Tribolium castaneum: one gene and its partners. The protein of the gene in region 1 purifies or fractionates together with the protein of each later gene. This does not show direct contact. Links are inferred from orthologs where the notes say so. Each region holds a gene or a part of one and is shown on either strand. Other genes may lie near its edges. The genes, in order: MED19, RNA polymerase II subunit B1 CTD phosphatase Rpap2 and Polr2G.

Region 1 (10,246 bases):
TCATAATATTGCGACACATCAAAATTGAACTTGGTCAAGAAAGTGAATCCAAGCACAGAGTGCAGGTCGCTGAGTTTAGTCAAATACTTACTTTAATCACGCCAATCGAACCAAAATGTTGAGCAATTTCGTCTTCGGTGAGATTTGGATTCATTCCAGACACAAAAATCGTGTCGACTTGAACCACCAAGTTACTGCCGCCGCCATTATCTGGAAATTAATACGAAAATGATGTCAAGGGTGAAAAATAATAATTTTACTAAAATTAATTGTTGCGCCAACTAACTCAGTTCTCAAAAACTGTTTCACATCTTATGGTGTGTAAAAACAATACTATATACCTTTTCTCTTACTCTCTCACTCTGAATAAACCTTAAACTTGACCATAACGCACCTTGAAATAAATACCAATTTTTTAATTTAAGACCATTGCGTTTTTGATGCCATTTTACCACGCAATGAAGAAAAAAACCTTCTACAAAAAATAAAGTATGCACTTAGCGCTCAAACGGACAGCATTAAAAGTACTCCTCAATCGAAATTTGTCAAATACGTATCACAATATACCCAATAGAACCTTTTTATTTAATACCAATGAATATAAAAGGAAAAACTTTATTATCCTTTTACCTTTAATATATATATATTAAAATCATAGTACCTCATAAAACCATTCGTAACTTTTTGAAATCCCGATGTATAACAGGGTGATTAAAAAATGAAGGATTAACTCTTACAGGGTGATAAAAGACGTTCAGTTAAGCATAATAATCAATTTTTTTTGCAACCGTATTAATTCTTAGTATTTCTTTTTCCTTAGCAACCGTATTAATTCTTGCGCATTTCTTTCCCATATTGTTGAATTCATTCTTAAATTTGGTAAATTATAAATGTTTTATACGTATTATAGGTAGAGAATTTTTTCAATAATTATCTAATTTTATAAAATCTCTCGAGAGATTTAAGATTACTTCATCTTAACCCAAAGATATAACTTTGTAAAAAGCTATATCTAGTGAAGAAAAAAAGGATCACAATTTTTTTTGTCATAGGAACTTTTAGCTTAGTTGGATGTATTCATCACCATCTAAACGATATATAGTCGGAGACTTTTGAATCACCCTGTACACGAGAAAAATACTATTATGTATTCTTTTACCTTTACTCTATCAATAAAAAACAATGTACTCAATAAGACCTTTCTTTTTCAAACGCCAATGAAAATAGAAGGAGATACTAAATATAAATCTTAAAACCACCTATAAAACTAATCCAAAAACTAGATTTAATCAAATGGACCAAAGATTTTCTTTGAGAACATCTAAAGGTTACTGACAAAACATTAATTACTCAAATTTTTAAAATTTGCGAAAAAGAAAATAATAAAGTATCAATGTTAACAACCATATCTAATAAAAAAATAATAATAATAATAATAATAAGAAATATTAGAATCGCAACTGACGTTTAAAATTCTTTATAAAAACTTGACCAATCGAAACCCAAAGATTTTCTAATAAACATTTTCTGTAATGATTTTGTAAGTTACTCCAATGCTTTATATTTTTGTATAAATGTACAAAAAATTGCAAATACGAAAGAAGTTACCTAATCAGCAAAGAGGAAACAATGAAATGTTGCAACACTTTTCGAAGATAAACAACTTGTCAATTATAGCAACGCACCCTAACATTCGCAGGTGAATAGTGGAAGAGCTGTTTACGTATGATTATTTAGTATTCACATTATAATCGCGGGTCTAAGTTTTGAAACAAGTCCAATAATGGAACACCAAATAATCAAAATGTGTGGGAAATTATAAAACGTAAATAAAAATAATGCAGCTCTTCCAAAAACCAATAAAAATACCAATTAAAAAGTGTACAAAAATGCACTGGTCACAGTGACTCAGTGCTTTTACCTTTGTTATAACCACCCCTGTTGCCGCCTCTAAAACAGAAGTAAAACATCAGTAGTTGTCGAGAGAATGGAGGGGGGTGAAAAACACACACTTCACCAACCATTTTGTTGGCATACACATTGTCTTCATCCACGAAGATCACCTATTTCTAGTTGTTGTCACGTCTATGTACGATGTTTACCTTATTTTTAAACTCTCAAAGATTTTATTATACACCTCAATAACATAACAACCATTTAATTGTAGTAACAACCAACTCAACCTTTAAGGACCGTACCAAAAATAAATACCTCAGGAAAAACCACCTGTTATAATTTAACTCAAGTTTTAACGGCCATTTTCGGCCACCAACAACAAACACAGACGTGTGTATTACAACAAAATACTTACACTATTTAAACTCTGTAAGCAAACTGATATTAATACAGTTTCAACGATTCTTTGACAATAAATACCCATTCATTCATTTTTTATCATTTTACTACCTCCCATCCAAAGTGTAATACCAACAAAGTAAAAGAACAAAAACCGATAACTTACCCATAAGAATCACGTCGATCTAGAGGCCTTTTGTCAAAATCGCCACGGTCTCGGCCTCCTAAACCAAAAATAATTAATTACAAACAACACACAAAACTATGAATGTACCTCCATAGCCGCCACCACCGCCGCCGCCATAACCGCCACTATTGCCGTAGCCACCGCCTCCGCCAGAGTTGTAACCACCTCCTTGGTTATAACCGCCGCCGCCACCTGGAACAATTGACGGTAGTATAGCAAAAAAACAAAACAATTCTTTCAAAAGTAATGTATAGGCGAATGTCTACCCCTTCTCATATCAAGATAAGAAGGGACTATCAATTCCCTAATTATTCTGCGACATAGTAGGAGGTTTCAAGTTTATTAAACAAACTCAAACCATGCCTATGTCGCCCCACATCACTGTTTCTTACCTTGACCGCCGCCATAGCCGCCGCCAGACGAGCGTCCTTGATTCCAAGATCCGCCGCCGCCGCCGGCACCTCCACCTCCCCCGCCCGGGGGGTTGAAACCGCCGGTCGGCGGTGCCCCGTACGTATTGGGATACGCAGTACTGGGGGGCGGTTGGGAATAGTCGGCGTACGATCCTGCAAAAGTGGTTTGTACATAAATTACCCAAATAACGAAAAATCGATAATAATGAAATTAGAGCAAGCCGACGTGAAAAATGCGAACTACCACAACTTCGTAATGTGTTAAGTAGTCGAAATTTGAATACACGAGGTGATTTCGTACAGGGATGAGCGAGATTTTTTAAAAATCGGGATACTTACGATCGCCCATCTTCTACCGTTGGGATAATCGAACAAACAGGAGGAAAATGGATGCGAGGGAAAAGACGCTACGGATTGGGGGCTTGTGATTGGTCGGCGCTAACAGCCCTGCCAACCCCACCAAAAAAACACACTAAATAAAGCACGCCAAAATATTAAATTTTCCACAAACAACCTTGTTTTATATTCTCAGTTCCACTTGAATACCGTCGAGGTACTTAAAAACAACATTTGTGATGGATATAAATTGTAATAATAAGTTTGTATGAAACACAGCTGGAGAACTTGTTGTGGCAGCACTGAAAACCTTATCAGAGTTCAGGGTCGGCCTAAGGGCATTTGTAGGCCCTCAAATTTATTATTTTTTGATAATCATGAATTTAATTAATCTAGTGGTGCTAGCTTTGCTAAAACGACCAGTAAAAACTTAATAAAAATAACAGTCTGTTTATTTTCAAAAATAATAAACAATAAATAATAATAGATCTTAAACCTAGGGTAAGTTGGAATTATTCACAATCCAAAGATCTTCACGAATTTGAGTGTTGGCTGGGCGTTAGGCCCCCACTGTGTTCAGGACTGTGTTTCTGCTTTTTTCTCTTCTTTTCCTTTTTCCTCTTCTTCCGTTCTTTATCTTCGTCGTGTCGTTTCTGTTTTTTATGCTTCTTCTCGTGTGTATCACTTCCAGCATCGGTAATGGTAGTCTCCTGACTTGGAAGCCCCCCATCTTTGTGTTTGTGTTTTTTGTGTTTATTTTTATGCTTTTTCATAGGCGCCGCATTTGCGTAGCGGTATTGTTCAGGGAGCTAAAATCCAATACTCAACAAAACACATTAAAGGGAAATTATCAAGCTTACCGCCCCAGGGTGTAGTCTAAACCCATCCAGTTGGATGCTAGTCAATGGTAACAACTCCTTGCCCCCAATTGGAGGCTTCTCAATCACTGATCTTAGCGAACTGTTATCATGCTGTCCAGGAGAGTCAATAACGCCAGGCAAAGTTGGCAAAAACGAAGATAACTGTTCCTTGAGTTTTTTCCCACTGAATTTGCTGTAAGAGTGCTCAAGGCCATAATAGGCCATCAAATTCGTCGCTCCTGTTAGTTCCGACTCTCCTACAACCACCGTCCGCGTGATTTAAACGACTTCAAGCCTTGTCTTGCTTACCTGGAGGCTCTTTCATCAAATAGAAAGGTCCACTAGGGACAATTGAAGGGTTCTTTCCTAACAAAATTGTCGTTTTTAATGTTCCTGACGAATCCTGACGTGAAACGACAGGGGAACGAGCCCCTCTAGGCGAAGATTTGGGCGAATATTGTTCCACTTTACGAAACTGATCGCCCATCATCTTACAACTTCATCGTTTTGCAACAACGATGCAGCTGGAAATGGGAAATGTCACTTCAGCATCACGTACCAACACAAAATCGTCAAACAAACAAACAAATCAATTGTTACCCTGGTAATTTTCACGGTCTGGCGTTTGGAACCCTGCTAGTTTGGTAACTTTAGGTTTAGTTTGGTTGGCGAGATTGTGCAATTGTTACTGTTGCTAAGATACCGCGTCGAAGCCGCCGCCCCCAAAACATTGCTGGTTTTCTCAGTGAAAACATGCGTCTTTTGTGAAAAAAGTGGTTTGAGTTAACGAAAATGGGTTGTTGCGAGTCGAAAAAGGAGCCCGAGCGGGAAGAACCCGCTCAGAGAGGGTGCACCGACGTGTTTTGGTTGTGTTTGTACATTGCGTTTTGGTTACTAATGGTAAATAACCTTGATTGGTGTGTAATTTGCCTCATTAATATTTTTAGGTTTTAATTGCGGCGTTCTCCTTTGTCTACGGCAATCCCATCAGAATTATAAACGGCTATGACTCATTTGGGAACATTTGCGGGACAAAAAATAACAGAAAAATGTCCAATTTGGAAGTATCAGGACTGGACACTTCAGACAAACAATTTTTGCTCTTCTACGATATTAAAGAGCTGAAACAGTCGCTGAAGATATGCGTAAAACAGTGTCCCACGGAGACGTTAAAAAAAGTTGAAGATATCCAGAAATATTACCAAAAAACTGGCGTCAGTTTGTGTAGATATGATTTTAATTATGACGATTTTAAGAACAAGAGTATTGCGAATAAGGAGATTCTGAGTAGCTATTTAGGGCCGTGTCCGGCACTTCCTATTTACGAAAGGTATTTCCCCTAAACTTGTGTTCTATAAAGATAAAACTGGTTTTCTAAAGCACCCCAGTTCTCAACCGTTGCGTTCCTAAATCATTCCAAGATGCAGGCGAAGCAATTTTGAGCAATTTTTACGAAGCTTTGAACAGTTGGGACACACTTGAGCAAATTTTGGGCGACATATACAGCACCTGGAAGGAAATCCTTTATTTAACGTTTTTATCACTATGTGAGCCTTTGGATAGTCACAGGAAAATTTGTACAGTTTGATTTTCAGTTTTTTCGCTGTTAACTATCTCAATACTGCATCTACTGGCCCATTTAGTGTCGTACATAATCATGATTTTGTTCACAATTGCGAGCATCTTGGGCACAGCGTTTTTGTGGTACACTTATTTTGATATTAAGTATGATTTGGATAAGACGAACAAACACATGCTTTTGATGGAGTCAATTCGCAACGAAACGGCCTTTTTGTGGTACTCAATCATCGCCACCGTTATCACAGTAAGAGAAATAATTAAAACTTATCGGGATGTCGTTCATATAGTGAACGAAATAGCCTGTAAAATAACTCAAAATAGTCCGTAAAGTAGTGGAATACATACTTTTCTAACGAAATCGAGAATCAGCCTGCAAACCGACCCATATAGTTTAAAATGTACCTTCTTTATTTTCATTTTCTAACACTTAATTTTTTTCATTGATTACGATACAAGGTGAATTTGAACGTAATACCATTGGGAGCTTATTCTATAGAATTAAGTTTTTTGTAATAGAAAGTGAAGTTAACAAGGATTGTTCCTAATGTGTATAATGTCATTTGCAAAATGTTTTAAAATTTACATGATTTGAGGAATTATCTTGACACTGAAATATATTTTTTAACACTTATAACATAACGCTGCTCTACATAATACACTTTATGGACTATCTTGTCTTGTCTGTACTGACTACTCATATTTATAACTACGGGGATTTCAGTGCCGAAAAATACTATTTTACGGACTGTTGTGGGTTACGTGTGCTATGTAAGTTTTGGGATTTTTTTACTTTAGGTACATTTATGCAAATTAAATCTACATCTAAAATAATGGTACAGTTTTTGTGTAACGTATTGTGTTTTTTGGACGGTGTTTATGTTAACTTTTCTTATCTTTTGTTATATATTCTGCGTCTTAGTTGTGCTGCTTTTCAAGCTTCCCATTCATATATAATAATAATAATTCATATAATATTGTGTTCAAAAGCCCACATAAAATTTTTGTTATTGAGACTTTCAATAACAACTCTCGGTATTAACTGCTTTAACCCTGGTAGAAGTCGTTATACAAAAAAGTTTGGCAACATCTTTAAGAAACCCTTGTACTTATTTTAAAGAATTGAAAAACTTTTTCCAAAGCTTACGTAACATTCGTTATTTCGTCCTCGTTGCGGACAACTTCAGAAAAATAGCTGTTTTTAGGTCATAATTTTATTAATTGTTGCTGTGATGCGAAAACAAGTCAATTTTTTGTCGGACTTGTTCAAAGAAACGTCCAAATGTTTACTCCACCTCCCGGCTCTGTTTTTGCAACCGATTTTAACATTTATAATCCTCGTTTTATTCTTCATGTTTTGGATTTTCGTTGTGGTACGTCCCACGTTCACCAGTTTTCGTAGTTAAATTAATAAAAAAACTTCCAGTTATGCTTGGCTACGGCTTACTACCCTGGAACCTCCCGAATCAATCGCTTTTCTAACGAGTCCTTCACCACCCCTGTGAGCCATACGGAACCGGTGGCCAAGTTGGGCAACATTTCTTTAACCGAAAAATTCCTTGAAAGTATTCATTTCGCTTTTGTACTTTCTTTGTTTTATTAATTACTTTCAGAAATGACAGTGGTCGAGTTTACCGACCCAACATGGGTGAAATACATGTGGTGGGTCTATTTTATCGGTCTCATATGGACGTGTGAGTTTATTATGGGTTGCCAGCAGATGGTAATCGCTGGGGCAGTGGCCCATTGGTTCTACCGCCACAAATACAAAGACAACTCGCACGTTTCGTACGCCATTTGTAAATTAATAAAATACCATTTAGGGTCGGTCGCCATTGGGTCACTTTTGATTACGATTTTCAAAGTCCCGAGATTGATTTTAATGTTTTTACATGAAAAGTAAGCGCAATTTTTGAATTTTCGTGAACTTATAAAAAATTTCAGATTGAAATACAATTCGGATAAAGGCAGCGAATGCGCGTCTTGTCTGCTGAAATGTTGCATTTGCTGTTTCTGGTGCCTGGAAAAATTCATCCGATATTTGAACCACAACGCTTACACTGTTATTGCCATCGATGGAGTTAATTTCTGCTCAGCTGCTGGGACGGTAAGTTTCAAATGTATTTTTTTTAAATAGTCCATGAAAGTTATTTCCGTAATCAGTTATGAAAAGACCGATTTTGTTTAACGAACATAATGTTTGCCAAAACGAGTAAGCACAGCGAACAAGTTTTGCAAATTATGCGAGTTAAACAATAATAGGCTTCTAATAACGTATTACGTATTTTTTTTAAATTCCGTCGTAAGTTGAAAATTTATTTTTCATTGTTCTTCGATTAATAGTTTTAGAGAACATTGCAAACAAATGCAAAAATAAAGAAAAATTATAATTTAAAAGCCATTGAGAGTTTGGCGATTTCTCGGCGCCTATCAACTTCTCAGATCATTTTATATAACTTTTTATCAAAATAGTTCCACTTTTACATTTAGTTTTCAAATATTTGACATTCATCGGGCAATAACTCCGAAACTAATAAACGTAACTTTATTAGGTTCCTTGTCGTTGGATTAAAACTCTTCAATTAATCTATTTTTGTTAAAAAAAATCATTGTTCTCCGATTAATAGTTTTCATGAAAGTTGGAAACAAACGCAAAAAGTAAAAAGAATATCCAATCATTATTATCAAACTTTCAGTTTTTCAATTTGTTTAAACCCTGGATTTAAAAATCAGAATTCTGAGCCTAAACTTTTGAATTCAAAATTTCAAAATGTATTTTTATCTTTGTAAAAAATCCCAAATGACTTCCTTTCTGCATGTATTAGTTATTACCATAAACAATACTAAAGAATTTCAATTTATGAATTTAAAAAAATAAATTCACAAAGCATAGTCTTACGAGCACAAGTTTCAAGCTAAAATTAAACTCAAAAATACAAATTTTAGAAGTTATACTTAAAATGCCGAGGTGAGAAGCAAAGAATTCAAATAATATCTTAAATTTTTAGAACAGTTACTTTAATTATGATTTTAAACCAAGTAGAAATTGTGAATTAAAAAAATGAACTAATCATTGAGCCAGAACCAAAATTGTGTAAATTGGAACATGGATGTTTTTTGTTAATTTAAATTTAATTTTAGAATTGTAACTATAAGTCAAACCGAGGTTAAACTTGATACTTAAAAACATAATTTTGAATTAAAAGTTGGGTGCCTACATAATTTAAAACTCCACTGAAAATTCCATATTAAATTCGGTATGGGTTGATTTCAATATTTTTGTGATAAAATTTCTTATTTTAAAGTAGGTGAGAGTTTTCCGTGAGTTTTTATTTGTAATATACAATTTGTTTTTAATTTTTATTTATTTTATTTAATGTCAGATCCAATTTAGTTAAATTTATTCGTAGATTAAATCCACAGAAACGATTGTTATAATTATAGGCTTTTGATAACGTTTTACCTACAATATTATTAATAATTCCGTCGTAAATTGAAAATTTATTCCTGCTGTTTTATTTTTTTATGAAGAGTAAACAAATTAATTAGCATCGTCCGGTAATAAGTAACGTAATAACCCTAGGTATTAACTGACTGTACATTACGTCAAAATAGTCGTAAAATCTGACATTTGGTAACGGGATTACGAAAACAACAATTTTTTAAGTTTTTAATATTTTTTTAAGGCGTTTCAAGTCCTGTCCTCACATGCCCTGCAAGTAGCCACCATTAACGGTTTGGGCGACTTCATCCTATTCTTGGGTAAATGTCTTGTTACGGTCCTAACCGGTTGTGTGGGCCTGTTCATATTTCGGCGAAACCCGGATCTGGAATTTTACGCCGCCCCTACTTTGGTTGTGTGCATTTTTGCATTTTTTGTTGCTCACTGTATTCTTTCCTTGTATGAGGTATTGTTTGCTCATTTTGCCCCAAAATTGTGGCTAACTTTGATGAGTTTCAGATGGTCCTGGATACGGTTTACTTGTGCATTTGCCAAAACGGGGAAAGTGTGGAAGGGATTCAAATGGAGAATCTTGGGGTTCGAAATGTTGGCAATCTGAATGCGCAACCAAATGAGCTGGAACCGATCAAGTAATGTTGGCAAAAATGCCTAATTTTACCGGGAAGGTAAAGAACTGTTTTATGATTTAAGCTACAAGTCTGTACTAAGACAGCTTTAATTTTTTTTTAATAGAGGTAGGAATAGGTAAATATTTATATTGACTATAATTGGTGTATAAATTATGAAATATTGCATAATTGGGCTAAAATGTTTTTCTTCCAACTTGTAGACGAAAAAAATATAAAAATACAATGCTGCCAGCTGTAATGGACCCATCACATTTTTCTAATAAACGCACCATAATTATAATTATTCACACGAAAGACTAAAACAGAGATTTTTTACATTTTGAGATTTTTATGATCAAATTTGTTTCTTGGACCAGCAGGTTGTGACTTAATTTAGATAATAGTATTTGTTAATAGCAATATTTTTATAAGAGTTTAATTATCTATTAGCATCATTCCCACTTACGCACCTAGATACAAGAAGTATTTTTATATGTATGTTGTAC
Region 2 (11,304 bases), on another chromosome or scaffold:
ATGTGATTTTAGTATTGTTATGCTTGGAAAGTCAGCTGTAGTTTTTAAGCCAATAACTTATTTATAAGGAAGCAAACGCACATGATAGTAGTTAAGCCAGAAAATAACGTATTTCTTATTAGGTTGTGAATATGTTAGTCACAAAACGGGGTTTTGCGCTAGACAAGACTAAGACTCCTGATGTGAATGGATGCTGCTGTATTTATTTCAATAGCTTAGGTTCCTAACAGACTAAGTTTATGGTTTAACTGTTGTTCAGAAATAATATATTGAAATAAATTTTTTTCTCACTTTAGCGCGGTAACAAGCCAGGCCCTTAGTCTTGAACTTTAAAACTAAACTTTAATCCCCATAAATTATTAAAATTGTAACAAACAGACGTAACTCTCAGTTAAAATTTGTAAAAATTCACGTAGGAATCCCAAGCGTTCGCCTTACAATCCGCTCCGCTATTCTGTTAAATTCCTCCCTATTTTCCCGCCACATTTTCGCAGCATCAACATTTGCTCCACTCTCATCATTAGGTTCTAAAAATCATGTTGAATTTTGTTACTGTTTTGTGAAGAAACGTACCTGCAAGCATGCTGACAACTGAGAGAAGAATTTTTTCAACACTCTGTACAGGAGACCATCTCTCAGCACTTGACTCATAGCCCATAGGGTCATCTCCAGGGGCGTGCAAAATGGAAATACATACTCGCCCATCAGCATAAACTAAAATCTGCTGATTCATCTCCTGTTACAAAAACCCTAATATACTTACTATTAGGGTGAAACATTTCGCAGGTGAACTGCATTTTAGGAGGGCTTAAGGGATAGTCCGGGGGGAAAATGAGTTTAGCTGGGAAAACACCGCCCTCAAAACATGTCCCCTCAGGGCCACTAAAAACCCGTCATATGAAAGTTTCCCTACAAAGACAACTTACGTTATCAACGCTTCCCACTCGAAGAAATTTTCTTCGTTTATTGGACCAGCAATGATACCTTCTGGGGGGTTCAGAGTCAGTTCTAGAAACATAAAACGAATGCAAATAGTTTGAGGTTAGGCTTGCATCTTACGCTTGTACTCGGCCATAAGGCGTCTTAGAGCTGAGCCTGCCATTTTTTATCAATATTTGAACAATATGAGCACCCAAAAATGTGCATTGAATGAATTTAATTATTCTTTATAATATTTTACGTGAGCGTTTGTCAATTCTTAAAAAAAAGTGCACTGCAATCACCAACTCCATCGAACAGCTATAGATCAGACTCAGTAGATGGTACTTTGACAATTTACAGGTTACTATAAGAGCGTAGTTTTGCAGTCATTGCTTAGATGTCACTACCTTAGATTTTATTATTTTTAAATGTTTTATAGATCTCTATAAAAGGTACTTTAAGATTTGACACCCAAATGTCACTACCTACAATTTAAAAAAAAATAGTTTAAGACGTTTTAAAGTTTAAGTTTGAGGCACTTTCTGTTATGTTAGCAACTTGAGATTTTACATGTTTACATAACTTTTGGAGCACTATTACGTCATGTACTTCGATTCCCGATTAAAAAATGTGCAGTGCTACCTCGGTTCCTGATTGAGATACGGGAACGGGACCTATCCCATTCGATAGCCCAGGAAAAATACTACGGCTCAGTAGGGTTTTCACCGCCCCTCTATCTCTAACAGGAACGAAGATATTTCGCATTTTGTGAATTTCAGATTTTCTTCAGTTTTTATAAAAAAATTTGTGAGTGCTAGAAAATTTATGTGAAATTCTGCAAAATTTTAAAAATGGATTTCGTATCAGGATCATAGGAACGCAAAGAGGCCACGAAATTTTTAGCGGCGTTTACATGCAACCAGTTATACATCTGCGTGTATTTTAAGTTATTTATAATTTCTCATTACCCTTTTGCGTTCCTGTGATCCTGATACGAAATCCATTTTTAAAATTTTGCTGAATTTTACTAAAATTTTATTTCATTATCAAAATTTTTATAAAAATTGAAGAAAATCTGCAATTTACAAAATGCGAAATATCTTCGTTTCTGTTGGAGATAGAGGGGTGGTTCTGTCCTTTTGAAAACCCTACCGCCCCGTAGTATTTTTCCTGGGCTATCGAATGGAATAGGTCCCGTTCCCGTATCTCCCTCAGGAACCGAGATAGCACTGCACATTTTTAAATCAGGAATCGAAGTACATGACGTAATTGTGCTCCAAAAGTTACGTGTGCATGTAAAATCTCAAGTTGCTACGACAACAGGAAGTGCCCCAAAATTAACTCGTAAAATATGTTCCAAACAAATCGCATTAAATAAAGACTTTCAACAAAAAAGCCTAAATTTTTTATTAGAGTTTTTTTTCAACCTGTTTTGTTTATTGGCTTTCGAAATTATAAATATTTTGAACATAAGTTTGAGACACTTCCTGTTATCGTAGCAACTTCAAATTTTGCATGCTTACATAACTTTTGAAGCACTATTACGTCATGTACTTCGATTCCCGATTTAAAAATGTGCAGTGCTATCTCGGTTCCTGAGGGAGATACGGGAACGGGACCTATTCCATTCGATAGCCCAGGAAAAATACTACGGGGCGGTAGGGTTTTCAAAAGGGCAGAACTACCCCTCTATCTCTAACAGGAACGAAGTTATTTCGCATTTTGTGAATCGCAGATTTTCTTCAATTTTTATAAAAAATTTTATAAGTGAAGGAAAATTTAGGTAAAATTCTGCAAAATTTTAAAAATGGATTTCGTATCAGGATCATAGGAACGCAAAGAGGTCTCGAAATTTTTAGCGGCGTTTGCATGCAACCAGTTATACATATGCGTGTATTTTCAGTTATATATCTTTTCTCATTACCCTTTTGCGTTCCTGTGATCCTGATACGAAATCCATTTTTAAAATTTTGCTGAATTTCACATAAATTTTCTCGCACTCACAAAAATTTTTATAAAAATTGAAGAAAATCTGCAACTCACAAAATGCGAAATATCTTCGTTCCTGTAGGAGATAGAGGGATGGTTCTGCCCTTTTGAAAACGCTACCGCCCCGTAGTATTTTTCCTGGGCTATCGAATAGGCTAGGTCCCGTTGCCCTATCTCAATTAGGAACGGAAATAGCATTGCACATTTTTAAATCGGGAATCGAAGTACATGACGTAATAGTGCTTCAAAAGTTATGTAAGCATGCAAAATTTCAAGTTGTTATGACAACAGGAAGTGCCCCTAAATTAGCTCGTAAAATATGTTCCAAATAAATCGCATTAAATAAAGATTTTCAACAAAAAAGCCCAAGTTTTTTATCAGAGTTTTTATCCAACTTGCTTTGTTTGTTGTCATTTTGAAATTGTAATATTTTCAACTTAAATTTGAGACACTTCCTGTTATCGTAGCAACTTGAAATTTTGCAGGTTTACATAACTTTTAAAGTACTATTACGTCATGTACTTCGATTCCCGATTTAAAAATGTGCAGTGCTATCTCGGTTCCTGAGGGAGATGCGGGAACGGGACCTAGCCTATTCGATAGCCCAGGAAAAGTACTACGGGGCTGTGGGGTTTTCAAAAGGGCAGAACTACCCCTCTATCTCTAACAGGAACGAAGATATTTCGCATTTTGTGAATAGCAGATTTTCTTCAATTTTTATAAAAATTTTGATAAGTGCGAGAAAATTTACATGAAATTCTGCAAAATTTTAAAAAAGGATTTCGTATCAGGATCATAGGAACGCAAGGAGGTCAAAATTTTCTAGCAATTTTTGTTTGCAACCAGCAACGCATTTATGTGTATGCTGGGTTGCATATTTTTTCCATTAAAAATTGTTTATGACCAAAAATAAAAGGCAGCAACACATTTCAACACTTTATTAAAAAAAAAACTATAATTATTGAGTTCATTTTCTCACTAAAAGTTATTTATGAAGAAATATAAACGGTAACAACACACTGTGACATTATTTAAAAAGAAATTGTAATAAAATAAATCACAGTGAGTACCTACATAATATCCAACAAATATATACAAAAATTATTTCGGAAAATTAACAAGTTCTGTGGCATCTTCGCTGTCACTAAACCTCTATGACAAACATGCGTTAATACTTCCAAACTAAATGATGGTCCAAGAGTCGCACTATTCGAAAACTGTAGTCGAGAAGAATCCCACAACCTAAAATCAAGTTCAAAAAACTCAAAACAAATTAAAACTTAATCCCAAGAGGTGAAAATGTAACGACCTTCTTGCATGCCTCTAATCCTGATCCAAAATTAAATTATTCCAAAATTATTTTTAAGATGGTTCTCAAAAATTTACTGGTTACTATAATTCACTGTTTTAAAATAATAAATTCTAAAATCGTACTTAAATGCACAACTAGATGGCACTAGTTTTTTTAATTGTAGGTCGTGACATCTAGTGGTTAGATGGCAAAATACAACTTTACAGAAAACTATAAAAACAGCTTCTGCTCTATTCGTAATTTCACAAAACAGTAAGTTACAGTAATCTGTAACTTTCTTAAAGACATTTTTAATAGCAAAAATTTAAAATTGTCAAAAATCTTGTAATCCTCTTAAAAAAATCTACTGTTATTGTTTAAATAATTTGGATTTTATTAAAATAACTTCTTTAGATTTAATGTTTGACAAGTTGTATAGGCAACCAATTATACGGCAGTAAAAATAATACAGATTAAAGTAAAAGTTAACATTAAAGTGTATACTAAAATCGTAAAAACGCAATAAAATCTTTTAAGTACTGTTTGCGTTTCTGTATCACTTATTTTATAAATTTTAAAATTTTATGCAAATTTACTGTCTATTCTGTCAAAAATAATTTTTTTTTTAAATGAGATTAAAAGTTTGTACCAAAATCAAAGAAATGCCAAGAGGTAGAAAATGTAAAGACCTTATTGCGTTCTTGTAATCCTAATACACATTTTGGTTTTAAATTATTCCAAAATTATTTCTTAGTGTTAAAAAATTTACAGGAAACTATAATGAAATTTTAAAACAAGGTGCAAAGATAACATATTGAATTTTATAAAATTTTACTTTGATACCAAACACCTAGATGTCATTAGTATATTATGTAGGTCGTGACATCTAAGGGTTAGACGCCGAAATATGATGTTACAGAAAACTATAAAGATTGTGCTTCTATACGTCATTTTGTAAAACAATAAGTTACAGTAATCTGTAACTCTTTAAAAAACATTTTTAAATTGCAAAAATTCAAAATTGTTCAAAATTTGTAATCCTTGTAATCTTCTTAAAAAATCTACATTGTTAATGTATAAATAATTTAGATTTTATTAAAATAACTTTTTTGGCAGGTTGAAATCCATTTTGAAATTTTGCGATTTACAGCGAAAAATAATTATTGTTTTTAAAATTTTAAAATTAAAATCAAAATGTGTATTAAAATCGTAGAAACGCAAAAAAAGTCTTTAAATTTCGGTACTTTTTGTGTTTTTGTAACATTAATCCTAAGAATTTTAAATTTACAAATTTACTTCGGTTTGTGTATGCAACCAATTATTTACGGTCGCGCATAAGAATTGCCTACCTCAAAAATTTTTATTCAAAATATTAGTAAAATTTTACAATAATTTAGAACTAATATTTAAATTAAACTTAAATTATGGATTAACTGTCACCACAACTAGTACCAAAACAATTGCCAACATTTAACATTTATTAAAAAATCGATAAAATGCACGAATTTAATCACGTGACATCAATTTCCACCAATCAACGAGATGATTGAGGTCACGTGAATCGTGACGTTAAACAGCCTGTCAATTTGACAAGTGTGGAAGGTTATGCTACTTATGCACTGTTCTTCAATTTTTTTTTAGTTTTTGATGAACAGATTTAATTTCTTTAATTAAAAAGTATGCAAGATTCGCTCGAAGATTATATTCGTATTTCGCGCAACTGCAAAGAGGGACCAACCCAGGTTAAGTGAGTTTTCACTAATAAAAAACGATTAACTTGCCCCAATTAACTAATTGTTTCTAGGAAAGAAGTTCTTATTACTGCTCAAATAAAAAAGGAGTGTGATGCGAAAGCACTGCAAATACTTCAGTTTGCAATAGAAGGGAAAATGAGGTCAGATGCTTTGTTCAAATGTGTAAGTAAAATAGGATGGTGCAGCGTAGTTACTAATTCGTTTTATAAAGTTACCCTACATTAACCAGTCTCATTACCAAGACATTGTCGAGGAAAGAGCTATCAGCAAGCTGTGCGGATATCCACTTTGTTCCAAAAAAATTCCAGACATGCCAAAGAAACAATTTTACATTTCCACTAAAAACAACAAGGTTTATGACATAACAGATCGCAAGGTACGAGATAAATCAGCTGTGATGCCATTTTTATTGTCTGTTTGTAGAATTATTGTAGCAATTTTTGCTATCGCGCCAGTCTTCATATCAAAGGCCAAATAGACACCAGTCCGTTATGGCTTAGAAAGTATCAAGAAAAGGCCCATTACACGCTCCTCAACAAATCAGAAAAGTAAACAATTCGTGTGTAATAACATTTTGTAAAAAATATTTCAGGGGTCTGCCAGGAGAGATGATAGATCAGGGTGTAATAAAACCAGCTGTGGAACCATATTTTACTTCAGTATCCAGTTTTACTCAAATGTCATTAGATGAGGCAGAAGAATTGGAGTTAAACCCTCAAGAGGAGGAGAAAATAAAGCAAAAAAAGAAACCCAGAAAGTACCAAAGAAATGCAATGAAAACCATTAACGAAAATGAGGAAGAAGAACAAGTCGAATCAGGAGAAAAAATGGACGAAATGAAAGAATCTGTAGAAATACTAAATAAGGAAAATAAAAACACCCCGAAAATAAAAGACAAACCGTTAGCTCAAACTAAACAAACAAACGCCACTGACGTGGAATCACACATCTACAAATGTATTAAAGAGTGGTTAACTCTAGAAACGTTCATGTTTGTTCACGGCGAAGAAAAAGTAAAAGAAAAGCTGGATAGTCAAAAACTAAGCCACTACTTTGACGCTCTGAAAATATCACAACTGCAAGTGGAGCAACAGAAACGATACATCGACATTTGCAGAAAGCTGCATTTAAGAGAATTGGCCGAAGAAAAATTTGACAAAGCCGTTGTCGGAAACCAGGCCTTGAAACCAATCCCTGACTATCGACAACTAAAGGAAGAAAGCCGCGAAATCGACTTAAAGGTGAAGTGTTTCTACAGTGGCGAAATACATATCCAGGAAGACAAAAACTTCCCCTCGAAAAAGGAAGACACGACTAATGAAGAAGAGGAACAACCGGCAGTGCTGCCCTTGGTCGATGTGAACTCACAAAACGCGTTAAGAAGAAAAATCTTCCTAAATTCACTCAACAAAACGTACGTATTCCTAATGACATGAGCACAACTTATCAAATAATTTTTACAGAGTACAAACTTTATTCCAAACTTTGAGGATAAGTCCGAGCTTGGTTTTGTCAGATTTGCAATCCCTGGTCAAGACTTTCAGTCTGAAAGCGGACAACATTGTCTTCAAACCCGCAATTTGGACCTACATTGCTATAATTTTGCTGAAAATGTGAGCACAACCAGTGGTTTAGTCTCTCTCTAATGATATGTTCCAGCCTGGCCGTGAGGGACGAAAACTTGCGCAAGCTTCTGGACCAGGAGGCGTCCAAAAGTCAGTTAAACACCTGGCTGTCTTCACTCCCCAACAAAACCCAAATAGTCAGTGATACCTTGAACATTCTTTTTGATATCGATACCTTTGTGGAAAATTACATTTGTAAATAATTTTAATAAAATGTATCAAGTAGCAACGATCGTTTTTTACGTTACGTTGAAAGATGCGCGTGGTTTGATTTTTTCCGTGGGTTTTTCGCGTTTCAAAATGAATTTAAACGTTAACATGTTTTCGGCCAAAAAGGTGAAGCTCCATGGGATGCAGTCCGACAAATGGACAACAAAAGACAAGATAAATCAGTACAAGGGACTCATCAGTCTTTACAGTAATTGAAAAATTGTCTTAAACCCAGTTCCTGACTGTGTTTTTAGCTAGAGACCGGAAGATTATCGAACTCGACACAAATGTGACTCGGAGAAAACTGACGCGGCTTATTAAAGACTTGCAACGGGCGGTTTACAATGATCGAAGGGAGCTGGACAACCAAATTAGGGGCGATAAACAAAAACTGCGCAACACTTTAGCCGAACACCGGGAGCTTCAGTTGGCCTTCCAAAATTCACAGCCGAAGGTTTCGCTTAAAAATCTCTACTTTTCTTCCAATCTCTGTTGTAGAAAGTGATTGAGGAAATTAAACAACGTAATTTTAACAGACGCAAGGTCCTGGACCGGTTGAAATACGAGAAAAAGATGCGGTCGCAAAAACTGATAGATCTAAAGGTGACGAAACAATTCAACTTATAGTTTTGTGACCGGAGTTACAGTTGGAGCAAGCGCTGCTGGAGGACCGCCTAAAATACGCATTCCTCGGCCAAATCAAACAGGAGAAAGAGGCGCAGATTATAACCGGCAAATTACAGGACGCTATTTTGCGCAAAGAAGGCGCCTCGGCGATCTATCACATCTACCGCGAGATAATCGACATTATGAAAAAAGTATTTGTAGTGTTTTGGAGTCAATTTATTTGAAATTGTTGCCTTTAGGACGCTTTATACTTTGACGCGATTATAGCAACGGTAAAGTACGACGGCTTCAGCCAAAGCAAATGCTTCCTGGGCGCTACCAAACTGGGACAACTCGCCACGGAATACTTGGACGACAGGAGACAAGAATACGACACTTTGGAAAAGATTATAATCAAAGATATGACCACTCGTAAGACTGACATTCGCGTTTTGCAAGAACACATTGACCGTGCGACTGCTAGCATTAAGCTGTTGTTGCGAAAAGATGTAATTTGTTTGGTATTAAAACCCTCCGACTGTTTAGATTTTCTAGAGCGACCTCACAACATGTGCTAAAAGTATCAGGGATTCCGCCAGCATGGAAAATCTGCGGCGAGATGTGGGCCAGGTTGAAAAAACCCTTGTCTATCTTAAAAACACAACGCTGGCACGGTCTTATGATACGATATATCCTTGGTGAGAATGAAAGATTTGTTTCTTGTTTTTGCTAATGACAATATTCAAGTCTGGAAGAACAGCTCAAGCAAAAACGGCGTCTGAAGCGCCTGACAAAAAAATGTGAACGCGATAGAGACATCATGTTGAACAAAACCAACCACGCTAATTTAATGAACTCGGTTTTGAAGAATACGATGAATGAGACAACTGTCGAGTAATTTTTACATTACAAATGAATTTTTGATAAAGTTGAAATTCCAGATACAGAGCAAGGAAGACGGAATTAAAGGATGAAGTGGAGAGACTCAGGAGTGAAAAAAAAAGATATGCAAAACTGCTACAAATCAAGCGAACAATAGCTGCAAATATTCGCATAGGTTTGCGGCAACTTTTACAAGTCTCGTATGAACTGTCGGATGAAACTAAGAAAAAACCTGCTCCTAGCTCACACCCTTTTGGTGTTTTGGCCGAGAGGAAGGACAAACCACAGGAAATTGTCGAAGATGAAATCGACGGTTACTTGAGGGTTATTTTTGTATAAATGTAACTAAATCAGTGTTTTAGGATCAAAAATTGTGCCAATTTTGGTGGCCAAATTCACTCCCTTAATGTCACACTACTTTGCGCTCAAACACGAGCCAAAGTCCGATGAGGCTTTTCGAAATATTGAATCAATGATGCAGGAGCGAATGATTCTGGCAGACCAGTCTGAGGCACCCCTGAGTGAAGCTTGTAATTGCACAAAACGCAAACACGGATGCGTTCATTTAATTGTTAATTGTAGCCTTGTTGGAGGGTTTATATGTTGAAGCCAGTGAGCAACTGACAAGGGAGGATATTAAAAAACAGAGTCAGGAAATCGTTGCAGCGAATACGAAAAACGAAGATTTAGTTCCACTAATTGTCGTTCCGTTCAACAAGTGGAAGAAAATGCAAAAGCAGCAAAAAAATTAATGGGATTTAATGATAAATTATTAATAAAAATACTCAACATCGTGGTTGTTTCAATCGTCGTCTGCCAACGCTGCAAATTTATTGTGGGCGTAATTCGTCGGCTCTTCATCTGAGTCAGTTTCTTCGTCTTCGCTTTCTTCACTGCTTCGGTCTTTGTGGTCACCGGAGGAGCCCGGGACGTTGTCTTCATCTGAAGCATCAGAGAGGTAGTCTTTGTCGTCTGCGAGCTGAGTGGAATCGTCAGATTTGGCCTGAATCCACTTCACTTTCTCGATCTCCGGGTGTGAGGCCCAATAATCTAACAAATAAAACATAACGCAGTTTCAATTTCTTTTCAACCAGCGTTTGCCCGGAATTTTCATGATTTTCTTATTAGCTAGATCTTGGACAAAAATCAGTGATTCACGTATGCCTTCTAAACATATTCCAAATGTTATTCAACTGAAAACCTTTTATTTTATCTTTTATGTCAAGAGATAAATAAAGACAACTTTTTGTATTGGTTACATGCTGATGAGCAGGATTCTGAATCATATTTGATACGAGTTTGTAAGACAGGCACATAAACGTACAAAGTAATCAAAAATCTTTACATATAGCCACAAAATTAAAAATTATTAAACAACTATTAAACTTGGGAGTTTCAAGTTTTAATGCTAGTCAAAAAATACTTCCAGTTACCCCAAAAAAATTATATCGCAACGATAGAATTTATTATGAGGAAACGATTGCAATTTTCTTCAAAAACTACATTTTTCAATTAAAATATTCCGTATGTTCCAAACGAAGTCAAATGAAATAAAAAAAAGAAGCAATGAGACATCTTATACAAAAAATAACGTTGTTCGACATGTCAACTACCTTTTTTATTTGAGTACTTGGGTGGCCTGAGACACAGGCAAATTTTCCCGTCCAAAGCCATCCTCAGTAAATCATTTGCAGCTCTGTAGCTGTCCAACCTGGCGGCTTTGGCTGTCAGGAAACCCCGTTTTTTGGCCCAGCCATCACAAATGTCCATGGCACACCAAGTATCGTCATTTTCTGGATGTTCAATCCTCAGCATATTTGGTAGATCCATACGTTCCGCTATAAAAAATTCTCAAAACTCACAAGAACAAAAATTAAAAACAATACCTAAATACTTTATCGTTGTGAACGGCTCCCTAAGTTGGGCGATGGGGAAACTCCCCATCAAAACCTGTATAACCTTTGGTGTTTTCGACGGAAAGACTAGACCAGGACAGTCGCACAGCCGCACATTGGGCGTTAAAAAA
Region 3 (10,118 bases), on another chromosome or scaffold:
CGGATAGTCGGTCATGAGGTGGGCATTGGGCGGGCCTTCCCTGTCCGAGCTTGAATCCCGCCTCTTGCGCCTCCCCCTGCAAATCAATTGGTCAAGAATCAAGTCATGGGGCGTGGCTACCCCACCCGCCGTAATTTATGCAAATCCGCTGCTTGCACCGCTCCTTGTTGCGCGGGGAGCCGTGACGGCTCCGCCTCGTGCACACGTCGCACCGCCCGCAGTCCTCGGTGCGGTAACACCCCATACAGTCCCCGCATTTTTTCATTTTTTTGTCGTTTTTGGTGTCACCTCGTTCTTTGCGTTTGCGGGCTTTGCGCTCCTCGGTGTTGGTGTTGGCACTGGCGATTTCGTCGCGTTTGGTCCGCCAACGAGTCTGCAGAGTTGAGTCCTCCTCGGAACAGCGAATACAAATGTATTGTTTGATCATTTTGGCCTCCTTTTCGGAGATGTTCATGCAATCGCCGTGGTACCTAGAAATGCATGATTTGAACAATGTGTTGGCATGCAGGTGGTTTTTTACCATTCTTCACAGGCGTCACACGCAATCATGAAACGGGAGCTGTCCGAGGAGCGACAAATGCAATAAGCTTGACCATCTTGCTTGAGGAGGGTGTCGATTTTGGATTGACGCTCCGGTAACAGAAACTGTTTAGCGATCTCTTCGCGCTAAAAACAAGGCAAATTAAACACAGTTTTGTCCGGTTTATGCCAAAAATTACCGAAATATCGCGTTTTCGAGACATCTTCAATTAACTTAACCTTGCTTCTTTTAGCCACTTTTCCTAGCTCTGTTAGACATTTGAGGTAGGTCAGCACCTTAAAGCTAAACAATCGCCATTTTCAATGCTTTTCTTATGGGCATTTAAAAGTTTTTCGTATTTCTTTAATGCTAGAAGTGTAGGAACATTACTTTTACAGAGAAATGATAGCTATGAAAAATGCAATGTCGTTTCTTAAAGATTTTAGCAACTGAGCTAATATTTCTGTAAGTTGAACACATAAATCCTTTTCTAACCTAACTTTTTTCAAACTTCAAAATTCAGTTTTTCTTAATTTGGACATCATATTGATGTAAATTATTATGTGGCCTTTTAAAACTGAGGGAAAAATGGTTTGCCACACTAATGACATTGGATTTCTTCTGAATGACGAATTCATGGGGTGCAACCGGCGCAACCCCAATAAACGGGTTGTTTTCTGTCCCCCTCCCCCATCACGAGGGATGAATAGCAGGTATACGAGGGTAGAGGGTTCAGGCACATACATGGTTGAAAGTAGTACGGGTTGTGAGTTCTGTGCTTCTTTCGTGAGTGTCTTTTGTTATCGTGTTTTTTCCGATCGTTCTCCATATCTTCGTGTTCTTGAATTTTTAAAATTCTGTTTTTCCAAGACATTATCTCATTTTTGTGGTACATCATTAGGTATGATTTGTGAATAATATTTTGTTGCGATACTTTGATAGTTCATGTGTAGTAGGTTTTTACATCACAACTATGGGAATGTGTTGGGCTCCAGATTGCAAACACTATAGTACTCGCGATAAATGCCATTTTTTTAGTTTTCCTAAGTCGGGAAAAGAACGAGCACTATGGAAAAAATTGTTGAGGTAATTTTTAATAGATGTTTTGATATTAATTTTTAATTGCTTGTTTCATTGTTAAATGTAGAAGAGATGTAGAACCCGGACCAGGAGCCTACGTTTGCAGCTGCCATTTTCGGGATGGAAGAAAGGAAAATGGTCCTGAATTATTTTTGCACAATATCGCAAAAAGAGCCTATTTTCAAGTGGAATCTCCAGAAAAAAAAAAGATGAAAAAACAAGGACTCCCTTCTTGTTCTAGTTCCGCTGAATCATTAAGGTAAAAAGTGAATCCTAGTTTTAAATTGATTTACAATTTGATCATTTGAATAGTGTTGATATACCGGAAGAAACAGTACCATCGACAATGAATTTAGAGGAAGTGCCATCGACGTCTACAGCCGTAGTTGCAGCACCAGCAGATATAATTCAAGATGCTCCGTTAGAATCTATGGGTGTGCAAGCACCCTTGGTGTCACATGCGGCTCTTGAAGCAGAAATGTATTTTCTCAAAAAGGAAAATGCTGAACTTAAAGCAAAAATACAATATCTGACAGTACGATTTTGCTATGAAAATGTTCAAGGAAATGACAAACTCATTGTTTTATATACCGGTCTTCCCAATAGCCAGATTTTCGAAGCATTGTTTCACTTAATCGAAAAGTTGGACATAAAATATTACCACAAATGGACAGTCCAAAAGTTAACTAGAATTGACCAACTCTTTTTAACCCTAGTAAAATTACGACTCAATTTCCCTCAACTTGATTTGGCGCAACGCTTTGGGGTTGCCCAAAGCACAGTTTCTAATATTATTTTAACATTTGTCCATGTAATATATGAAATTTTATATAAACAGTTTATGACGACAATGCCTTCGCGCGAAAAAAATAAATCTTGCTTGCCAACATGTTTTAGCAATTTTACTAATTGTAGAGCAGTTCTAGATTGTACCGAAATTTTCACTGTGGTATCACGTAAGTCTATGTCAACACAGAAATTAACATATAGTACTTACAAACATCATAATACTTTCAAAGGGCTAATTGGAGTTGCACCCAATGGTGTCATCACATTTGTAAGTGATTTATACGTGGGATCAACTTCTGATCAAAAAGTTGTTTTAAATTGTGGAATAATCGACATGTTAAAAACTGGAGATATGATTTTAGCCGATAAGGGATTTTTGATCCAAAATATTCTGCCACCAGGGGTCACTTTGAATATTCCACCTTTTTTATCAAATGTCCAATTTACACCAGAGCAAGTTAAGTGTACCGAAAATATTGCACGTGCAAGAATACACGTCGAAAGGGCAATACGCCGATTAAAATGTTATCATATTTTAAATTTTTTGCCAGAGTCTTTGTGCCACTATGGAGATATTGTTTTTAAAGCGACTGCCGCTTTAACAAACCTCCAATTTCCATTAATTAAAGAGGTAGCAGAATTGTTTCAGGATTGTGATGATTAAAATAATGTAAAATAAAAACCATCTATTTATATACAGTTTATTATTGTGAAATAAAGGAAATATATTGGTCAAGATAAAATTCTTTTAAAATATTGATATTTTCTGACCACCCCGGATCTTTTTCAATTTGAAATATCTCTGTGCACTTTGGTGTCCACACGACAAAGTAGCAGATACTTCGACCAGTGATGTGCATTTGCCCCTGTACTTGGTGGTAATAATTGTGATTGCTGTTAAGATTAATGTCCTCATTTTCATCCCTCCAATAAAAATATTTTTTATCCTTCAGGGCTTCAGACAAACTGTCAGTGTCCCTATATTTATATGGGCATTTAATTTCGAGAATCCCATCTTCTTCCACTAATCCATCAGGACTTGCTCCCAAAAAGCCTGATTCTTCCAACCTACAAAAAAAAGTAATATTACATTATTCATCTAAGTTATACGTGTTAATTATTTTCGACCTACCAAAATCCCGTCTCTTGGACTTTAAGATTCGTCGCTTCTTCAAATTCTCTGAGCGCTGTCTTCTCGTGGGTCTTACCCCACTGCACAGCAGCAACCCTGTCAAGCGAATAGCCTTCCGCCAAATTTTTAAATAAAGAGGGTGGGAATCTTCGTCTACTGCAAGCAGATAGTACCATGCCAAACCTGCTGGCCGTTAAACGATGTTTCCTTGCTACATGCCAATTTTCGTTAACATGTTGGCCCCGAGTGCACGCCTCAACCAGTTTAATGCGTGCCTCATCTATTCTGCACTTCTCCAAAAGAAACTTTTGTTTGTCTATGGCCTGCACGTATTCTAAGCTTTGTAGAATTTCTTCGATATCTGCAATAATTTTTCTGGCTTCTTCACTTGCTTCTGGTCTTAGGAGCCAAGTGAAGCCCACCACATTCGTGACGCCTATTTCGGCACGGAACTGAATAATTTCGTCCTCAGTAGAGGACCTAGACAGTGCCGTATAGTTTGATAATTTCGGCTTGTAAACATCAGCTAACTTAATGACTTCTGTTTGTGGTGTTGTTTTTGATGGGGCACTCCACTGACACTCAATGTCAGTAGCACTTACATTATAATGAGCATAATATAATGCTGCAGCCATATGATGGCAAGCCACGTTGCCCCTTGGGCAGGTACAATGTGCCGTCTTAACCCCTTCTTCTAGGTCATATGAAATCTAAAACACACTTTGTAGAAGAAATGTCTAACAGTTAAATAAATACAAACCTCCACAGTATAATTTAGCTTTTTCATGCTCGGTAGAACTTCTGCAGAAATTCTCATCGGTTGTACTGTGCCATCAAACCTAAATTTGGTGACGTGACCGCTGGTAAAAGCATTTTCTCCCCGAACTAAAAAGCGATTACCGTCCCCAAAAAATTTCGCAATAAAGTGAAACTTAACAATGTGCTTTTCTGCCACTAAAATGCATAAATATAATAGTTTCTCAAAGTATAATTAAAGCTTACTCACTTTCTCACCGACAACGTGGTTCCCTGTATTCTTTTATAAAGTTCGTATTTTCACAAAAAGTCACTTCTAAATTAAATTAAAGTCTCTAGTGGCACAAATTACACCCGCTGCAGCTATTTGACACGTTATTAACGCACAAACACAACCAAAAAACCGAAAAACGTATTACACCACATGTAAAAGACTGGTTGTTTAGCTTTGAGCAACTGACCTACCGTAATAAGAGTGGGGAGGTGACGTCACGACTGATAGCGCGTATTTTAAAATTTAGGTGTCTTAACAATAAGAGATAACAATAGGAATGATTAAATAATCATTTTGTTAAGTATGGAATGGACTTTTACAACTTAATAACATTGAACAACAAAAATAAATTACTAATTTTAATTATTAGCGCTTTGTTGGGTTGGTATTTGATACAACTGCCAACAAAAACATAACCTTAGATTTGAGCGGCAAATTAACGCGGAATTGTTTGTGTTTTTAAACAAAAAAAATGTTTTATCATGTAATATTACGACTAAATAAATCACTGTTTTATACACAATACTTTTTAGATATCGTTGGAGCATGAAATTTTATTACACCCGCAATATTTCGGCCCACAGCTACTTGAAAAGGTGAAAACCAAGCTGTATACAGAAGTCGAAGGGACCTGTACGGGAAAGTCTGTATTCAAATTTACTTAAAAGTGTTTATCTTCATTCTTTAATTTTAGATACGGTTTTGTAATTGCTGTAACCACGATAGATAGCATAGGGGCTGGCCTTATTTTACCTGGCCAGGGATATGTGGTGTATCCAGTAAAGTATAAAGCTATAGTTTTCAGACCATTTAAGGGAGAAGTGCTTGATGCTGTCGTACGGCAAGTTAACAAAGTGATTACGGAATATTTTCACTTCTTTTTTTACAAGATTGGGTTTTTTCTAGGTGGGAATGTTTGCAGAAATTGGACCTTTATCATGCTTTATCTCACATCATGTGAGTTTTTTTTTAAAGGGTGTGATAATATTGTGACACTATTTTTTAGTCTATACCGGCAGAGATGGAGTTTTGTCCAAATGTAAATCCTCAGTGTTACAAAACCAAAGATGAGGATGTTGTTATTCATGCTGAAGGAGAAATTAGATTGAAAATAGTTGGTACACGTGTGGATGCCACTGGAATAGTAATAAATCAAATATTTCAGTTCCAATTTTTTACGATTCTTTTTTAGTTTGCAATTGGTACTTTGATGGACGATTATTTAGGTTTGATAAGTAACTAGAAGTAAGGGCGTTTTAATGTATTTTAAGTCAATAAAAAGTTTTTTCAATCACTATATGGCGTTTCTTTTCAAATTACCCGCTTCTCAAAGTTTAGTTGCAGACTGCAGGCAATGCAGAAATCTGTTTTACTGTTGTAAACATGTCAATGTCAAGTAATTGTCATTAAAATTTGTTAAATTTTTTTTTAATCGTAAAGTTATAATTGGTTTCAACAAAATTCAGTGCCAGTTATTGTAGAAGAATCGCATTACTTCCAGAAACCACGAAAATATTGTTTTCCGCATTAGTTTCATAACTACGCGTAATCCCCATTGTTGATTAGTAATGGACGAAGAGGTGTTGACGACGTTAAAAATCCTGATAATTGGAGAGAGTGGCGTCGGGAAATCCAGGTAGAACAAGAAACCAAACTATTTACCCCACTTACTACCACCTACTTAGCATTTTAGTCCGCTTTACTGAAGACAACTTCGATCCTGATCAAACGCTAACAATTGGCGTTGATTTTAAAACCAAAAAACTCACAGTCGATGACAACACCGTAAAGCTGGCAATATGGGACACAGCTGGTCAGGAGCGATTCCGAACATTAACACCCTCTTATTACCGCGATGCACAAGGTGCTATTTTAGTTTATGATGTCACCAACTATTCCACATTTGCGAAACTGGAAACATGGTTGAACGAACTGGAAACATACTCGACGAAAGCGAACATAGTCAAAATGATTGTGGGAAATAAAATTGATAAAGTAAATAATCACTTCCAAGGCTTCATGTGTGTAATAATGACTTTCAGGAAAATCGGGAAGTGAACAGGGAAGAAGCGATGAAATTCGCTAGAAGACACCAAACACTGTACATTGAAGCAAGCGCCAAAACCAGAGACGGGGTCCAGTGCGCTTTTGAGGAACTAGTGCATAAAGTATGGATTAAGTCACAACTTCGTGATCACTAATCGAATTTTTTAGATAATACAAACTCCAGGGCTTTGGGAATCATTTGCATTAAATGGAAACTTCCAGGTGGATAATAAGGATCATCCTTCAGATTCTAGCTCTTGCTACTGTAGCTTGACTTAAATACTCTTCTATTTGTGCTGCTTTTATCCCAAATAATTTTAGAATAACAAATTAATATATTTTCAATTATTTATAGTCATGTGAATGTGAAACAGAACACATTAAATTAAGTTGAAACTACTGTCGTTTTACACTTGCCCACAGTTCTTCTTCACATGCATTGTCAACACCCACTTGGACACAAAACCTTTATGGCATTTACCACACTTGTAAGGCTTCACCCCTGTGTGTTTCCACATGTGGTATTTCAAATGACCGGCTTGCATAAACGTCCTTCCACAATAAGTGCACAAATGTGGAGCTCCCGTATGTTTTTTCATGTGATACCGCAAGTTATCGTGATTTTTAAAAGAAGCGCCACAAATATTACACAAGAAGTTTCTTCTTTCGCTGTGTATTGTGGCCACGTGGTTGTGCAGAGACTGCTTTATGCTGAACACCTTTGGACAGTCTGATATCGGACAATTAAATCTAGGAGTTGCGTTACTGTGTGTATATTTATGTTTGCTGTATGAGCCCCTTGACAGAAATGATTTTTGGCAAATGTTGCATTGAAACCTGTGTTTCATTTGGTAGTGATTGATGTATTCTTCCGTATCGTGGAACTGGCGTGAACATGGCCCACAGTTTATTTGGCCACTGTGTGAGTGTAAGTGTGAACGGAACAAAGTAAATCTCTTGAAGGTTTTTGGGCAAACTGGACAACTTAGAACTGTGGTTCTAGAACACGATTTTTTCTCTTCAGCTGGCTCTGTTGCGTGGTCAGAGTCAACTGTTTCACTGTCTATGGAACAATTATCAGAGTCACTATCGCCGTTCCATTTGTTGTTTTTGTACTGTTGGGTCAGTTCGACTGACCGTTTTATTAAATAGTCTTGGTCATCTGAATCGTACTGTTTGTTTTTCCTACTACCGTCCTCACATTCAATAATAAAACTTTCCGTATCGTTGCCAAATTCTTCAAATTGTGTTTGAATTGTGTCCAGGCTGTTTTGTAACGTCTCTTGTGATTTTTTAAAAATTTCCACAAAGTCGTTCCCTATTCGTAGCTTTGTGTAACAAGAATGGCACAAATTCCGGGGCAAATCTACATTGTCGCTTAGCTAAAATTTTGAGTTATTTGGGGTGATATTCTCAGTTTTTCAAACCTCAAGTGATAAATTTTGCAGCATGGAGACTGGACTGATCCCCAACTGTTCAGTTTCAAAAATTGGGAAAAAATCATTGCTGACTGAGAGACATGCTCGACACACACTTCCCCACTTATCACTTTTGCTCATTTTGTTTCAAGATTTAAAAATTTTATAATAGCTTACAAACAATAAAGGGACTGACAACTGACACAATTCATGAGCCCCAAATGGACTTAACCTCAAATTATAAAAGTGACAAAGGTGAACTGTTCCACAATTTATTTAAACAGATTTTGTTCTGATTCAACTACAACTAGTTTGTGCTAGTTTTTAGCTTTAAAGCATAATCAAAAACAAAAATAATTGATTAGAAAAGGTTGATTAACAGAATTTCAAAAATCTGGTAACTTTATGTTTTTAAGGTCTTTAAATTAAAAGTTGGTACAGAAAGCAATTAGTGGGTATTGGTAAATTTAAGAAAAGATACTTAAAAGATGTACCTAATCGGCATTTGAATTACGTTGGCTTTTTTTAGACTATAGTTTTATGGAAATAATTTGCGCAAATTTAAATAAACTTGTCGTGGTATTTAGTATTTGTGTTTTCGAAACAGTGCGTACACCTTATACCTCGCACCTTGTATTTTCATGTTTGACGCAAGCGCATTTTTAAATTAATTGTTGACGTTTTTCACCGTTTGTTTTATAAGTTTGAAAACTGCTTTTAAGTTAATTATAATTGTTTTATGCACTAATTGATAAGATTGTGTTTGATATTACGATTTGATTCAGCAGTTACGTGTAACAGTGACAATGACCCAATAAGTTTACTGTTTCTTTGTGTTCATGATTATATCCTTTTTTAAACCACAGAAATGTCTACAAATATACAAGTAGCAATAAGAATACGTCCCCTCATCGCGAGTGAGGAGGCCAAAAAGCTTCAGGTGCAGTGGGGCACCCAAAAGAACAACATTTTCCAAATTGACGACAATGGGCAAAAGTTTGGAGACGTCTTCAGCTTTGGTTTGTAAACTTTGGCCATAGTGTTTCAACTTATTTTGTTTTTATAGACCACATTTTCGGAGTTGATAAAACAAACACGGACATTTATGACAACATTGTGAAGGATTTTGTGGAATCGTCTTTAAACGGCTTAAATTCGACTATCTTTGCCTATGGACAGACGTCTTCAGGCAAAACTTACACAATGCTCGGGGACAAGAAGCATAGAGGGATCATGTCCTTGGCTATCGAAAATATTTTCGAGCATATTGAAAATAGTACAGACCGGAAATTTTTAATCAGAGTGTCGTACATTGAAATTTACAATGAGAAAATTTACGACCTGCTTGATCCCTCAAACAAGGAGGTGAAGATACGCGAATTCTTCCCCGCGACTATCGGTTTACAAAACATTAAGGAAGAAATTGTTACAAGCAGGAAGCAAATGTACGAATGTCTTAGGACCGGAACTTTGAACCGGCACATTGCCGGAACCAAAGCCAATGATAGGAGCAGTCGGTCGCATACTATTTTCAAGATCGTGAGAAATCTGCTTTAGTGTAGCTGTTTTTTCATGGTTATTTTTAGACGATTGAATCCACTCAAGTCTCCGATTTTACTAGCGGGCCCGTTCAGGTTTCAAGCCTCAATTTAGTGGACCTTGCGGGTTCCGAGAGGGTTGCTCAAACGAAGGCCACCGGAGTGCGGCTTAAGGAAGGCAGCCACATAAATAAGTAATCACTGTATTATGAATGCTAATTAATGGAATTATGTCTCAAGTTCAAAGTCTGTAGTGTCAGAAGTCAAGAATTTTTACGCATATTTGGAGCGAATCTATACATATTTGTATTAATTACTCGCGTTTAAAAATAGACACTGTTATCTTTTTGAAGTAAGTCTCCTGTATCTGATTTTTTCTAACAGGTCACTGTCAGCTCTGGGTCTAGTGATCAGACAACTGAGTGATGGTCAAGAATTTATCAATTTTCGTGATTCAAAGTTAACAAGACTTCTGCAAGACTCTCTCGGCGGTAACTCCAAAACTTTGATTATTGCAACAATCACACTGGCGTCGATTGAAGATACGTGTTCCACGTTGGCGTAA

Evidence for each region.
Region 2: the proteins of MED19 (region 1) and RNA polymerase II subunit B1 CTD phosphatase Rpap2 purify together in Homo sapiens (affinity purification with mass spectrometry; 3 studies listed by BioGRID and IntAct, with this or other methods). This does not show direct contact. The link is inferred for Tribolium castaneum from reciprocal best matches to the Homo sapiens genes MED19 and RPAP2.
Region 3: the proteins of MED19 (region 1) and Polr2G purify together in Homo sapiens (affinity purification with mass spectrometry; 3 studies listed by BioGRID and IntAct, with this or other methods). This does not show direct contact. The link is inferred for Tribolium castaneum from reciprocal best matches to the Homo sapiens genes MED19 and POLR2G.

The regions. Positions count from the first base shown.
Region 1 is NC_087395.1:19,588,392-19,598,637, forward strand, and holds MED19 (mediator of RNA polymerase II transcription subunit 19), read right to left. Parts: upstream 4,655-10,246; 5' UTR 4,582-4,654; coding exon 4,401-4,581; intron 4,349-4,400; coding exon 4,092-4,348; intron 4,041-4,091; coding exon 3,765-4,040; 3' UTR 3,666-3,764; downstream 1-3,665. Other genes in the region: RNA-binding protein cabeza, read right to left, coding at 92-210, 1,922-1,950, 2,462-2,519, 2,570-2,674, 2,875-3,048, 3,235-3,244; Ctl1 (choline transporter-like 1), read left to right, coding at 4,884-4,991, 5,039-5,421, 5,472-5,638, 5,687-5,916, 6,875-7,042, 7,096-7,234, 7,283-7,568, 7,614-7,776 and 2 more. UniProt on the Homo sapiens protein: Component of the Mediator complex, a coactivator involved in the regulated transcription of nearly all RNA polymerase II-dependent genes.
Region 2 is NC_087394.1:30,807,218-30,818,521, forward strand, and holds RNA polymerase II subunit B1 CTD phosphatase Rpap2, read left to right. Parts: upstream 1-5,759; 5' UTR 5,760-5,880; coding exon 5,881-5,948; intron 5,949-6,005; coding exon 6,006-6,117; intron 6,118-6,166; coding exon 6,167-6,331; intron 6,332-6,378; coding exon 6,379-6,503; intron 6,504-6,547; coding exon 6,548-7,369; intron 7,370-7,418; coding exon 7,419-7,568; intron 7,569-7,614; coding exon 7,615-7,783; 3' UTR 7,784-7,809; downstream 7,810-11,304. Other genes in the region: Ubc7 (ubiquitin-conjugating enzyme E2 G2), read right to left, coding at 409-527, 574-714, 764-882, 927-1,008, 1,060-1,102; uncharacterized protein LOC662435, read left to right, coding at 7,881-7,998, 8,045-8,244, 8,289-8,393, 8,438-8,608, 8,657-8,905, 8,952-9,094, 9,144-9,290, 9,338-9,591 and 2 more; Ns4 (guanine nucleotide-binding protein-like 1), read right to left, coding at 10,081-10,328, 10,892-11,116, 11,165-11,304.
Region 3 is NC_087398.1:9,591,065-9,601,182, reverse strand, and holds Polr2G (DNA-directed RNA polymerase II subunit RPB7), read left to right. Parts: upstream 1-4,896; 5' UTR 4,897-5,023; coding exon 5,024-5,035; exon of another isoform or gene 5,036-5,084; coding exon 5,085-5,194; exon of another isoform or gene 5,195-5,245; coding exon 5,246-5,405; exon of another isoform or gene 5,406-5,457; coding exon 5,458-5,508; exon of another isoform or gene 5,509-5,557; coding exon 5,558-5,695; exon of another isoform or gene 5,696-5,743; coding exon 5,744-5,794; 3' UTR 5,795-5,848; downstream 5,849-10,118. Other genes in the region: CXXC-type zinc finger protein 1, read right to left, coding at 1-76, 126-470, 521-666, 720-743; uncharacterized protein LOC107397902, read left to right, coding at 1,082-1,421, 1,474-1,606, 1,668-1,859, 1,913-2,556, 2,620-3,053; uncharacterized protein LOC107397903, read right to left, coding at 3,094-3,457, 3,522-4,231, 4,282-4,475, 4,528-4,528; ras-related protein Rab-18, read left to right, coding at 6,120-6,187, 6,237-6,546, 6,594-6,719, 6,766-6,876; uncharacterized protein LOC659090, read left to right, coding at 8,884-9,034, 9,082-9,554, 9,602-9,747, 9,938-10,114. UniProt on the Homo sapiens protein: Core component of RNA polymerase II (Pol II), a DNA-dependent RNA polymerase which synthesizes mRNA precursors and many functional non-coding RNAs using the four ribonucleoside triphosphates as substrates.